Mus musculus: one gene and its partners. The protein of the gene in region 2 interacts with the protein of the main gene of each other region in a pairwise test. Links are inferred from orthologs where the notes say so. Each region holds a gene or a part of one and is shown on either strand. Other genes may lie near its edges.

Region 1 (3,648 bases), on a different chromosome or scaffold from region 2:
GAGTGTTCGCTCCATGTTGGACCTGAGACAGATAGAGACCTTAGCCCCAAGCCCTCGAGGCCCCAGCCAGGACTCACTGGCTGTGTCCCCAGCTGGTCCTGGGAAGCATGGTCCACAGGGCCCTGAGCTGTCATGTGTCAGTCAGGTGAGCTATCTTTCTCCCAGCTCTCTAGAGGTCTCAGGAAGCCTCAGCCGGTCCTGTGCTAACAGCCGGGGCCTGCGCTTAGGTACTTCTGTGCACAGAAGACACAGAGACAGGAAGTCTCCTCTGAAATGCAGTTGTAGTAGAACTGACTGGGCTGTATTGTGAGTGGGGTGGGCCGAGAGGTACAGGGAGCTTTGGGGAGGATTCTTGGTGTTGAGTAGCAAGAGCCTGGCAGTCCGAGTGCCAAAACAGCTCTTCCAGAGGCTTAGTATTCCAGCTGAGCCCAGCCTGGCCTCCTGCTTCCTGTCCCCAGAGCTACAACACTCTGCTTCCGCAGCACTGCTGTTCACCAGCACCTTCTTCTCACGCCAGCAATCCTCACAAGTACCCCTTTCTTTATGTGCTTCCAGAATGAAAGGGCCCCTCGGCTTCAGACCTCCCAACCCTGCTCCTGCCCCCACATTATCCAATTGTTGTCACAAGAGGAAGGAGTCTTTGCCCAAGATCTGGAGCCTGCACCCATTGAAGATGGTATTGTCTACCCGGAACCCAGTGACAGCCCTACCATGGATACCAGGCAAGGGTTGTGCCCTGGCCAGAACTCATGGGCTCTGCGGCCCTTACACTTCCTTTCCCTCTGAGTTTTCTTACGTGGGCAGTGGTTGGCCTCCAGGCCACCACCTCCCTAGCAGTGGTCACAGGCAGGAGCTGAGTGGAGCTGCTGACCCCTGCTCACTGTCTTTCCTTCCTTTGCTGGCCTTTCCGGCAGTGCGTTTCAGGTGCAGGCTCCAACCGGAGGATCCCTAGGAAGAATGTACCCAGGCAGCAGGGGCTCAGAAAAGCACAGTCCTGACAGTGCATGCTCTGTGGATTACAGCAGCAGCCGGCTTTCCAGCCCTGAACACCCTAATGAAGGTAAGGCTGTACCATGAGGAAGGGACAACGGGGTGAAGCAGGGAAGGCAGACCTGTGACCGATAGGTACAGTGTGATGCCTTTCCCCTCCCCCCCATCCAGACTCTGAGAGCACAGAGCCCCTAAGTGTGGATGGCATCTCCTCAGACCTGGAAGAGCCAGCCGAGGGTGATGAAGACGAGGAAGAAGAGGGAGGCACTGGCCTCTGTGGGCTACAAGAAGGCGGCCCTCATACCCCAGATCAGGAACAGTTTCTAAAACAGCACTTTGAGACTCTGGCCAATGGGACTGCTCCAGGTGTGGTCTGTGGGCCAGCCTTCAGTCAGCCACATCTGCCCTTGTCCCCTAGCTGAGAGGGAGGGTCCAGTAGGCAGTGCCTTAGGTTGCTTTGTAGGGGCTGCAAAGACCTCGGGCAAGAACTAAACTTCTGACTCAGTTCATGGTTTCTGTGCCTCCTGCAGGGGGCCCAGCACGGGTGCTAGAGAGGACAGAGTCTCAGAGCATCTCATCACGATTCCTTCTGCAAGTGCAGACCTCCCCACTCAGGTACGGACCACCCCACATGGCTCTGCTCACCTGGTGCTCCTGCACCTGGCACAGCATGTAGCCTTCCTCATGTCTCTCCAGAAGGGGACGTTGTACTCCTAGATTTGAAGCAGGTGGTCTCACGCAGACTCTGTCTTGCTTTGTGCTTGTCCTCTCCTGGTGCATCTCTGTCTGTGAGGGCATCTGGCCAGCTCAGGGAGGAAAGCACTGAGCCTTCTCTGGGCCTTCTTCTGAACCCATTCTCCCTGTAGGGAACCATCCCTATCCTCCTCAGGCTTGGCCCTGACGTCCAGACCTGACCAGGTATCACAGGTGTCTGGTGAGCAGCTGAAAGGCAGTGGTGCCACTCCTCCAGGAGCACCCCCAGAAATGGAACCCTCTTCTGGCAACTCTGGCCCCAAGCAGGTGGCTCCTGTGCTGTTGACACGACGGCATAACAACTTGGACAACAGCTGGGCCTCCAAGAAAATGGCTGCAACCCGGCCTTTAGCTGGACTCCAGAAAGCCCAGTCTGTGCATAGTTTGGTACCACAGGGTAAGGAACCTTGATGAGTTCAACTACAGGTTGTGGGGGATGTGAGACATATATGTGGGCATGCTGGAGGAAGGTGGGTCTAGTGTGGCCCTGGCATGTCACCATGCTTGCCACTGCATGTCCCTTAGTGATTACACACAGGGGAGAGTAGCAACTGGGGACTGAGCCCTAGCATTTGCACACTTTCCTCACCACGCGACCTGCATCTGTCCCTGTCCCCAATGCAGATGAGGTGCCTTCATCACGTCCACTGCTCTTCCAGGAGGCAGAGACCCAGGGCAGCTTAGGATCCCTGCCACAAGCTGGTGGCTGCTCATCTCAGCCCCACTCCTACCAGAACCACACCACCAGTTCTATGGCCAAGCTAGCGCGTAGTATTTCTGTTGGCGAGAATCCGGGCCTGGCAACTGAACCTCAAGCTCCTGTACCGATCCGAATCTCACCATTCAACAAACTAGCTCTGCCTAGCAGGGCTCACCTTGTCCTGGACATCCCCAAACCACTTCCTGACCGTCCTACTCTGACCACATTCTCACCTGTATCCAAGGGCCTGGCCCACAATGAAACAGAACAATCGGGCCCCTTGGTGAGCCTAGGAAAGGCTCATACTACAGTTGAAAAGCACTCCTGTTTAGGGGAGGGTACTACTCATAAATCTAGGACAGAGTGCCAGGCTTATCCTGGACCCAACCACCCCTGTGCCCAGCAACTGCCAGTCAACAACCTTCTCCAAGGCCCTGAGAGCTTGCAGCCCCTGTCCCCTGAGAAGACTCGTAACCCAGTGGAAAGCAGCAGGCCAGGGGTAGCCCTGAGCCAGGACTCAGGTGTGCATGGCTCCCCAGTCTCACCTGGCCCATCCTTTCTGTCTCTGTTGGCTACTTTCTGGCTCTGTCCCATTTCTGTGTGCCTGGCCTTTGGTGTTTTTGTCCTGTCTGCTCCTGTCTTGGTCCATAAGTCACACCTCTGATGGTGAGACACTCTTGCCACCCTTCATAATCTCCCTGTGACCCAGTGAACCCTTTAGTCTGGATACTAGGGCTGGCTTTTCCTTCTAAACTTTGTGTGGTGTTGGGGAAGGTGTTGGAAGAAGGTGGGACAAGAGGCCAGGATTGTCGGCTGGTAGGGATTATAGCTCTGCTCTGAGAGCCCTGGGTTGGGATGCCTGAAAAAGCAGCAGGGCCTCACTGGTGTTTGTCCTTCAGAACTGGCCTTGAGTCTGCAACAGTGTGAACAGCTCGTGGCAGAGCTCCAGGGGAATGTACGCCAGGCAGTGGAGCTCTACCGAGCGGTGAGTATGGGGCAACCACTGTAGGCAACAACAGAGCTTCTTCTACACACTGGATGGAGAACTCAAGGGTATTCTGAGCATTGTAAAGGGGAGGGTCAGAAGCCAGGCCAGGCCTCTCAACCCCAGAATCTGTTGGTTATTTCTAGGCAAGAAACAGGGTCGTAGCGTAGAACACCATATTATTCAAGAAAATCCCAATTCATGGCTGTTATCTTTTTTT
Region 2 (3,648 bases):
TAAAGGAAGAGTAGTTTACATTCCAGTGGATTAAGAGTATCTTTCAAAGAAAGGTGAAGTGAGAAAGAGGAAAGTGGTTTGGACTTGGAGGTGCTAATTGATAAGAATTTGCAGCTGGGAAGAAAAGTGACCTTTTCTCAGCCTGGACAGATAGGTTCATAAGACTGATGTGAACCCTGGCAGAAGATGGCTTCACCAAACTCTAAACTCCTGGGACAGATTTGTCACTATAGTGTACCTTCAAAGGGAATCATCATCCTGCACACTAAAGGGAATGTAAATAATTTCAACAAAGGCTGAGGTGGAGTCACATCAGCCTGTAGGTGATTCATGTAACAACAAAGAGAGTGTGAACACTGGCTGCTGACTTCACCCAAAGAGAGCACTTGTGATTCTGAGTGCCATCCATCCTGCTCAGACAGAGGTGGAGATGAGAAGCGCCTGCAGAAGTGTGTACACAGGCTCCCTGGTGTGGTGGAAGGACTGCACTTAGGTCTCACTGTAGTCAAGCAGTGGTTAAAACAGCTGTTTCAGGCTCCTGGTCAGTTTCTTGAAGGGAGAGGGAGCAGCCATAGAGAGCTTTGTCATTGTCAGGGTGGAGCCTGTGGTGGGTTTTCATGGTTCTGCTCTTTGACTAATGCTGTGTCCCCAATTAAAGGGCAGCTTTGATAAACACACACACTTTGCTGTAATTATGCTCTGTGTGAGACTCTGGGTCAAACGAATTTTTAGCATTTACTTTTGTCTTAAATTATCCAGTTATACTGATTCAATCACTGTGCAGGTGAGGTGGGCATTTCTGTCCCCTGGACAATGGGTGGCAATCACTGTGCAGGTGAGGTGGGCATTTCTGTCCCCTGGACACTGGGTGGCAATCACTGTGCGGGCGAGGTGGCATTTCTGTCCCCTGGACAATGGGTGGTAATCACTGTGTGGGGGAGGTGGCATTTCTGTCCCCTGGACACTGGGTGGTAATCACTGTGTGGGCGAGTGGGCATTTCTGTCCCCTGGACACTGGGTGGTACGTGAGAGATGCTGAGTCTCTACTCCTTGTTCTGTTGCAGGTTTCAGCAAGCAGATGGTGGAAATCCTTCACAAACACAATATTCAGTTCAGCAGCTTTGATATCTTCTCAGATGAAGAAGTTCGACAGGGGCTCAAAACGTACTCTAATTGGCCCACCTATCCTCAGCTCTATGTTTCTGGAGAGCTAATAGGAGGACTTGACATAATTAAGGTTAGATTCTTATAAAGACAGTTCAGAGCACACTTTCCTAAAAGTGCTGTAATAAATTGAAAGCACATATTTTGTATTGTATCTCGGGGTTTACTAATGAACTCAGTATTTCTGATCGACGTTTGTCAGTGTCGCACAGTGGGGGTGGTCAGGTGGTTTATGTAGTCACAGTGTGCTTCTTTCAGGAGCTGGAAGCATCAGAAGAGCTGGACACGATCTGTCCCAAAGCACCCAAGTTAGAGGAAAGGTGAGTGATGGGAACCCGGCAGCAGGGTGCTCTGTGCATCTTAGCAGTCTATACATCCTGTTAGTGTGCTGTTCTTTCTGAGTAGACACCAAACATTTACTTAGTGTTTAGTTAGTATTTGGGTCATAATGTGGTGTTCCTCAGTACCTAGTTTTGCAAACTCTGGATGCTCTCGTTTGGACTGGAGATGTTTTACCTGATTTAGCAATTATGAAGAGTAAGTAGACTTGGTGCTGTAGAAATGTTACTTTCAGTGGGTCAGCGTCCTATTTGGTTCTTGCTCTTTTGTATGAGCATAGCACCTCTGTGTTTTTGTGTGCAGCTCAGTCCCTAAATGTGGTAAGAGTTTAATGGGAAAAGCTAGGGTTCTCAGAGGCTTTCCTGAGTCATAGTCACAAAACTCAGGCAGACTCTGGAGCTGTGAAACCATCTTTCTATTTATGAGAGAGTACAGCCTGCTTTAGAAGTCGTGTAGAAATGGTGGATTTTGTTGTAGAGGGATATATGAAGGAGGTTCTGTTGTAATAAATGTGAATTTATTAGTTCACGTTTTTATATTAATTAATTAAACATAATTTATCTTGAAATGCATCAGAGCTCAACAACTGTTAGTTGGGCCTTGAGTTTGTAATTTGCTTGCTCTTTCACATTTTGAGAATTTCTACAAATATTTAATAAAGATTGTTTGTCTGTACTTAATCCAAGTACTCCTTAGGAGCAGTATTCTATAGATGTCATGCTGGCCAATGCCATTGGTCTGCACCCTTTTGTAGTGGTGAGAAGATCGTGGTGTTGTGGATACCACACGGACCCTTTTGTGGTCTTTATCATGGCCCATGATATTCCCCCCCCCCCCCCCGGCTGTGCTGCTTCTAGGATGGTTCTGCATCTCATCCCCCAGATTGTCCTTGCTGCTGTTGCCATGTCTTAAAGTGCTGTTTACAGCTCTCCCCGCTTCAGGCATGCACAGATACATACAGCATAGAGTTGTATGTTTCAGGTAGTAATCTAAAGAGCTCTTCTCTAGTGACATGATGAGTATTTAGACAGCCGAGTGGCCTGTGATGCATGGATCTAGGTGGTTAGATCCTCTGGTGAGTGAGCTTGGCCTCTGGGATTGGCATACCTGACCAGCGTCAGCTTGCTTCTACACGATTTTGACTCGTGCTGCCTCCACAGATGAGAAGAGAGAAGAGAAAAATGATACGACCCATTATCTGTACACTGATTTTTTTTCTAAAGATTTGTGACTAAACTTTGTTCCAAACTTAGGTTATTAACAATCCTGATAGAGAGCAAGTTAGATTGCGCTTTTTGACAGGTGACATATAAAGTTAAAATGAGAAGTGTTGATTTTTCCTGGTTAGTGGTGGGTGGAGGACTAAGATTTTGCTTTCTTAGGCTCACTGCCCTGCTCTGGTGTGAAGAGCATTATGCACATCGTGATGGGAAGCGCTCACTGCTTCATTTGGGGAACTGGTAGATGGCTCGCTATACAGGCCCCCCATCGAATAATTCCTTGCTGAATTGGTTATTATTATTTTTTTAGTACTACAAGTTGATGGGCTTAAATTGCAACTTGAAAGAACATTCGTTGCCTTAAAAAGCCATATTATGTTTTACAGTGGCTCAGGGAGAGAATGAAATAAAGGAAAGTGTCAATGTTTTTGCTTGTTTAGTACCACTCAAAGCTGTGAGCCGTCATCCTGCTATCCCTCAGATATGCCTGCTACTCAGGAAGCAGAGCAGAAGTGGTGTTTAATAATTGAGCTGAGCCATTTTATATCAATTTTCTCTCTTCAGGCTCAAAGTGCTGACCAATAAAGCTTCCGTGATGCTCTTTATGAAAGGAAACAAACAGGTAAAGAACTCAAAAACAGTTTTATTTGTAATTTCTTTTGATGTTAACATCTGCAGCAAGGGGACAGTTAAGCCTTTTTTTCTAGTTTAGCTAATGAAGCTGTAGTAGTATCAGGAAGTTATCCAGGCCTTAATTGGTGCTTATGGAGATCAAACAAAGTAATCTCCATTTTGCTTGACTTTACCATCAGCATCTCAGCAGGGTGCATGTCTTTCTGCTGCCAAACTTTGTCAGCTGAAGTGGTCAACGCTGCTAGCGCTCAGCCAGTACCTTTTGTGAGGCTGTGGACTGTGGGCAGATGTC
Region 3 (3,648 bases), on a different chromosome or scaffold from region 2:
ATTCTGTCGGGTGTAGTCCCAGGAAGCACCTCTCTGCACAGTGCTGAGGTTCTGGCTGAGATGGCCCGGATCCTCCGGCCAGGGGGCTGTCTTTTTCTGAAAGAACCAGTGGAGACAGCTGAAGGTAAGGGTCTTGGTGCTCAGAAGGTGAAAGTTTAGCACCGCCGCGTCTGTGCGTGCGCACACCATCTCCCTGAGACTGTGCCTGAGGTACTCCTGTAGTATTAGTCTCTCAGGGGTGGGTGTTAGAGTCTGAGGCAACAGAGCTGAGAAGATGTGCTCTCTGGTTGACCTACAAGATCATAAGTAGAAGGAGATTGCCACCTAAAATGGCTGAATCTATCACCAGATGAACAGTTCATCTTTGTCATGTTTCTGATAGATAGAACATTCCAGCACTGAGGAGGAGCACACAGCAACTTCCTGTGAGTCTGTGGTTATTCCACAATACAGAGTTTTAAAGCAATGGCTGGAATCCTGGGAGTAAAGAATAATATGTGAGGCTGGGCGTGGTAGCACACGCCTTTAATCCCAGCACTTGGGAGGCAGAGACAGGCGGATTTCTGAGTTCGAGGCCAGCCTGGTCTACAAAGTGAGTTCCAGGACAGCCAGGGCTACACGGAGAAACCCTGTCTCTAAAAACCAAAAAAAAAAAAAGAAGAAGAATATGTGAGAAGCTTAAACTATTCCGAGAATTCCAAGCTAAAACTAATCCAAGAACTAAAGCCTTGAGGCTCAGTAGTGTAGCTGTCAGAATTGTTAATCCTGGGTTTCTAGCTTTTTTTTTTTTCTTCACTGAATTCAATCAAGATGTAGAAATATTCCACCAGAAACAGTAAAATAATAGAAATGGAAGTATTTCAGAGAAAATAAAAATGTACTGTGTATGTATAGCTGTGACCTTGTTATGTCTATGGTAGACACAAGCTTTCTTGCTGGAAACTTTTATGATTTTTAAGAGAGAAGAAACGTGTGTACATTTGTGTATTTGTGTGTGTGTATACATGCCTGTCTGTATGTGAGGATACATGAACATGAGTGTAGGAGGCCAGAGGTATTAGACCCCTTGTATGGTTAGTGGATCCGCTCCGCAGGACTGGAGAGGCAGGACATGGGAGTTTGACTGTGCTTACCCCACGCCATTGCTGGGTGGGTGCCAGCCTATGGGGATGCTGCAGGACACCGTTTGGGGTGGTGTGTGTGTGTGTGTGTGTGTGTGTGTGTGTGTAGCTCAGTCTGAGGTCCTGGGAACCGCTGGCTGCTCTTTAGGCAAAAGCTTTCTCCAGTGCTCCCCCATGGTAGAAAGTAGATGAGTAAAACAGTACCCCACTTCTTAGGGTGGGCCTGAGGTTAAATATCTTTTGTAGGGAGGAGTGTCTGGGAAGGAGAGTTTATTAGCTAAGTCCTCAAGGCCTTTACATACCTCATTAAAATGGAGATCTGTCTTAAGCCTATGCGACCACAGGGACTACTACATGTGGAAGGGGTTGGGGCGTTTTCTTACATGACTGAGGCCACAAATCTATGAAGGGCTGAGGCCTCATGCCAAGAGCCTGGTTTCCTGGGGTGGCGGCGGTGGCGGCGATACACCTTCCATCCCTTTAGAGTCACCAGGGTTTCTAACCTTAGTTTCTTGCGCGCTCCACTGGCCAGGAAGAACGACGCTGCAATAGGATCCTTCTGCACACGTTTATTGGGAGAGCTTGATTGTAGAGGCGAAAAGACCCCGAGCCCAGAACTGGTGCTGCTTTTATAGGCCAAGGAGGGGCGTGTCTCACACCCGGATTGGTTATGCACTAAGCCTCATTTGCATGTTCCTCATCTGATTGGCTACTCTCTCTCAGTACCTTACAGAACCTCATTATCATACCTCATTTGCATGTCTCACATCTGATTGGTTATACTCTCAGTACCTTACAGAACCTCATGATCATGCCTGAGCCAGGCAGTGTCTTTGCAAAAGACTTCACTGCATACGTACACATTGGTTGTTTGTCCAGTCTTATGCGTGGTGGCCAGCAGTAGTCAGTGCCACTCAGCAATGGCACATGTGGCTTCCCACATAGTTCAACCAGGAACCAGGCTGCCTTTCATGGTCCTACAACCCCCACCCTGGAGCTTAAGTTAAGGTTGTTGTGAGCCTTCTGATGTAGATGCTGGGAGCTAAATTCCCATTCTCTGCAAGGGTTGTGTGTGCTTATAACCACTGGGCCATCTTGCCAGCCTGTTCTTGCTGGAAATTTAAACCTTGAGTCATAAATGGTGAGAGACAGTACTTAGGTTTCTGTGTACTTCACAGTTTATAACTTTATTCATTATCTAACATTCTTTGGGAGGGGTTTCCAAGAAGCAGAACAATGAAATTATGACTTGTTCTAGCCTAAATAAGAATACTTGGGGTACTGGAGAAATGGCTCAGCAGACCTTCCAGAGGTCTTGAATTCAATTCCCAGCAACCACATGTTGGCTCACAACCATCTGTAATGAGATCCAATGCTCTCTTCTGGAGTGCCTGAAGACAGCAACAGTGTACTCATATAAAATTAATTAAAAAAAAAAAAAGAATACTTTGAACCACCAAAAGATTTTTCAAGATAAATGTTATCACTAAACTAGTTTTCCCAACTTTGACATATGGAGCCATTGATGGAGGTTTTCCTTGACAGTTAACAATGACAAAATGAAGACGGCCTCTAAGCTATGTTCAGCCCTGACTCTTTCTGGCCTCGTGGAAATAAAAGAGGTAAGTGTGTCGATATCCATTTTTGTTAGGTAAACCTTGGGTGACCCAAACCTACAGAGTGTTTGTCAGTAATCCTGGGGCAAGTGAGGTGATAGGCGCTGTGCAGAACTAGGAAGTAACGTGATACTTGCTGCCTGAGAGAGAGAGAGAGAGAGAGAGAGAGAGAGAGAGAGAGAGAGAGAGAGAAGGGGGGTACAGGATGCTTTGAAAAAGAAAGCCTTGGGAACAGGTTCCTTCTGAAGACTCGGTGGTTTGCACTGGTCTTCCTAGAGCTTTTAAACAGTGATGTGCTGCAGGGAGGACGGCGACTGACTGCTTCTGTCCCACTCAGTGTATACAGCTCTTAGGCTTCCATGGAGTATTGTCCCTTAGACCTTTGGTGGAGACAAGACTGTGGAAGGGGGTGTGCACTTATGACAGTTGAGTAGAGAGATATGTTCAAGCTAAGATAGGCCTTTGTTGTTCCATATTTTCTAGAAATTAAATTTTAAAATATTAGCATTTTCTTGGTTTGAAAGACATGTTAGTCCGTGACAACTGTATTGTTATATTCCTGCTTTTTTTTTTTTTTTTTAAATGTGATTCAGGCCTTTAAATTCTCTTTTTGAGACAGAGACTCATTGTTGGATGTAGCCCAGGCTAGCCATGTGGCTGGCTTGGTGAAACAGTGAATGGAGGAGCGTGCACTGATTCGTGGGATGTCTTCAATTGCAGTTGCAGAGGGAGGCCTTAAGCCCTGAGGAGGTACAGTCCGTGCAGGAGCACCTGGGCTACCACAGTGACAGCCTGCGCTCAGTCCGTGTCACTGGCAAGAAGCCAAACTTTGAAGTGGGTTCTTCTAGCCAGCTAAAGCTTCCCAACAAGAAGTCTTCTTCAGGTAAGACCAGCTGGGGGTACTCTTCTGT

What was found.
Region 1: the proteins of Glrx3 (region 2) and Mapkbp1 interact in binary tests that used the Homo sapiens proteins (3 or more experiments, as listed by UniProt). The two-hybrid records come from large-scale screens. The link is inferred for Mus musculus from reciprocal best matches to the Homo sapiens genes GLRX3 and MAPKBP1.
Region 3: the proteins of Glrx3 (region 2) and Ciapin1 interact in binary tests that used the Homo sapiens proteins (3 or more experiments, as listed by UniProt). The link is inferred for Mus musculus from reciprocal best matches to the Homo sapiens genes GLRX3 and CIAPIN1.

What each region holds. Positions count from the first base shown.
Region 1 is NC_000068.7:120,021,176-120,024,823, forward strand, and holds part of Mapkbp1 (mitogen-activated protein kinase-binding protein 1), read left to right. Parts: coding exon 1-145; intron 146-555; coding exon 556-722; intron 723-914; coding exon 915-1,060; intron 1,061-1,161; coding exon 1,162-1,356; intron 1,357-1,520; coding exon 1,521-1,605; intron 1,606-1,856; coding exon 1,857-2,140; intron 2,141-2,367; coding exon 2,368-2,964; intron 2,965-3,342; coding exon 3,343-3,428; intron 3,429-3,648. UniProt on the Homo sapiens protein: Negative regulator of NOD2 function. It down-regulates NOD2-induced processes such as activation of NF-kappa-B signaling, IL8 secretion and antibacterial response. Involved in JNK signaling pathway.
Region 2 is NC_000073.6:137,458,059-137,461,706, forward strand, and holds part of Glrx3 (glutaredoxin-3), read left to right. Parts: intron 1-1,064; coding exon 1,065-1,237; intron 1,238-1,422; coding exon 1,423-1,484; intron 1,485-3,287; coding exon 3,288-3,345; intron 3,346-3,648. UniProt on the Homo sapiens protein: Together with BOLA2, acts as a cytosolic iron-sulfur (Fe-S) cluster assembly factor that facilitates [2Fe-2S] cluster insertion into a subset of cytosolic proteins.
Region 3 is NC_000074.6:94,828,249-94,831,896, reverse strand, and holds part of Ciapin1 (anamorsin), read left to right. Parts: coding exon 1-124; intron 125-2,666; coding exon 2,667-2,743; intron 2,744-3,457; coding exon 3,458-3,620; intron 3,621-3,648. UniProt on the Homo sapiens protein: Component of the cytosolic iron-sulfur (Fe-S) protein assembly (CIA) machinery required for the maturation of extramitochondrial Fe-S proteins.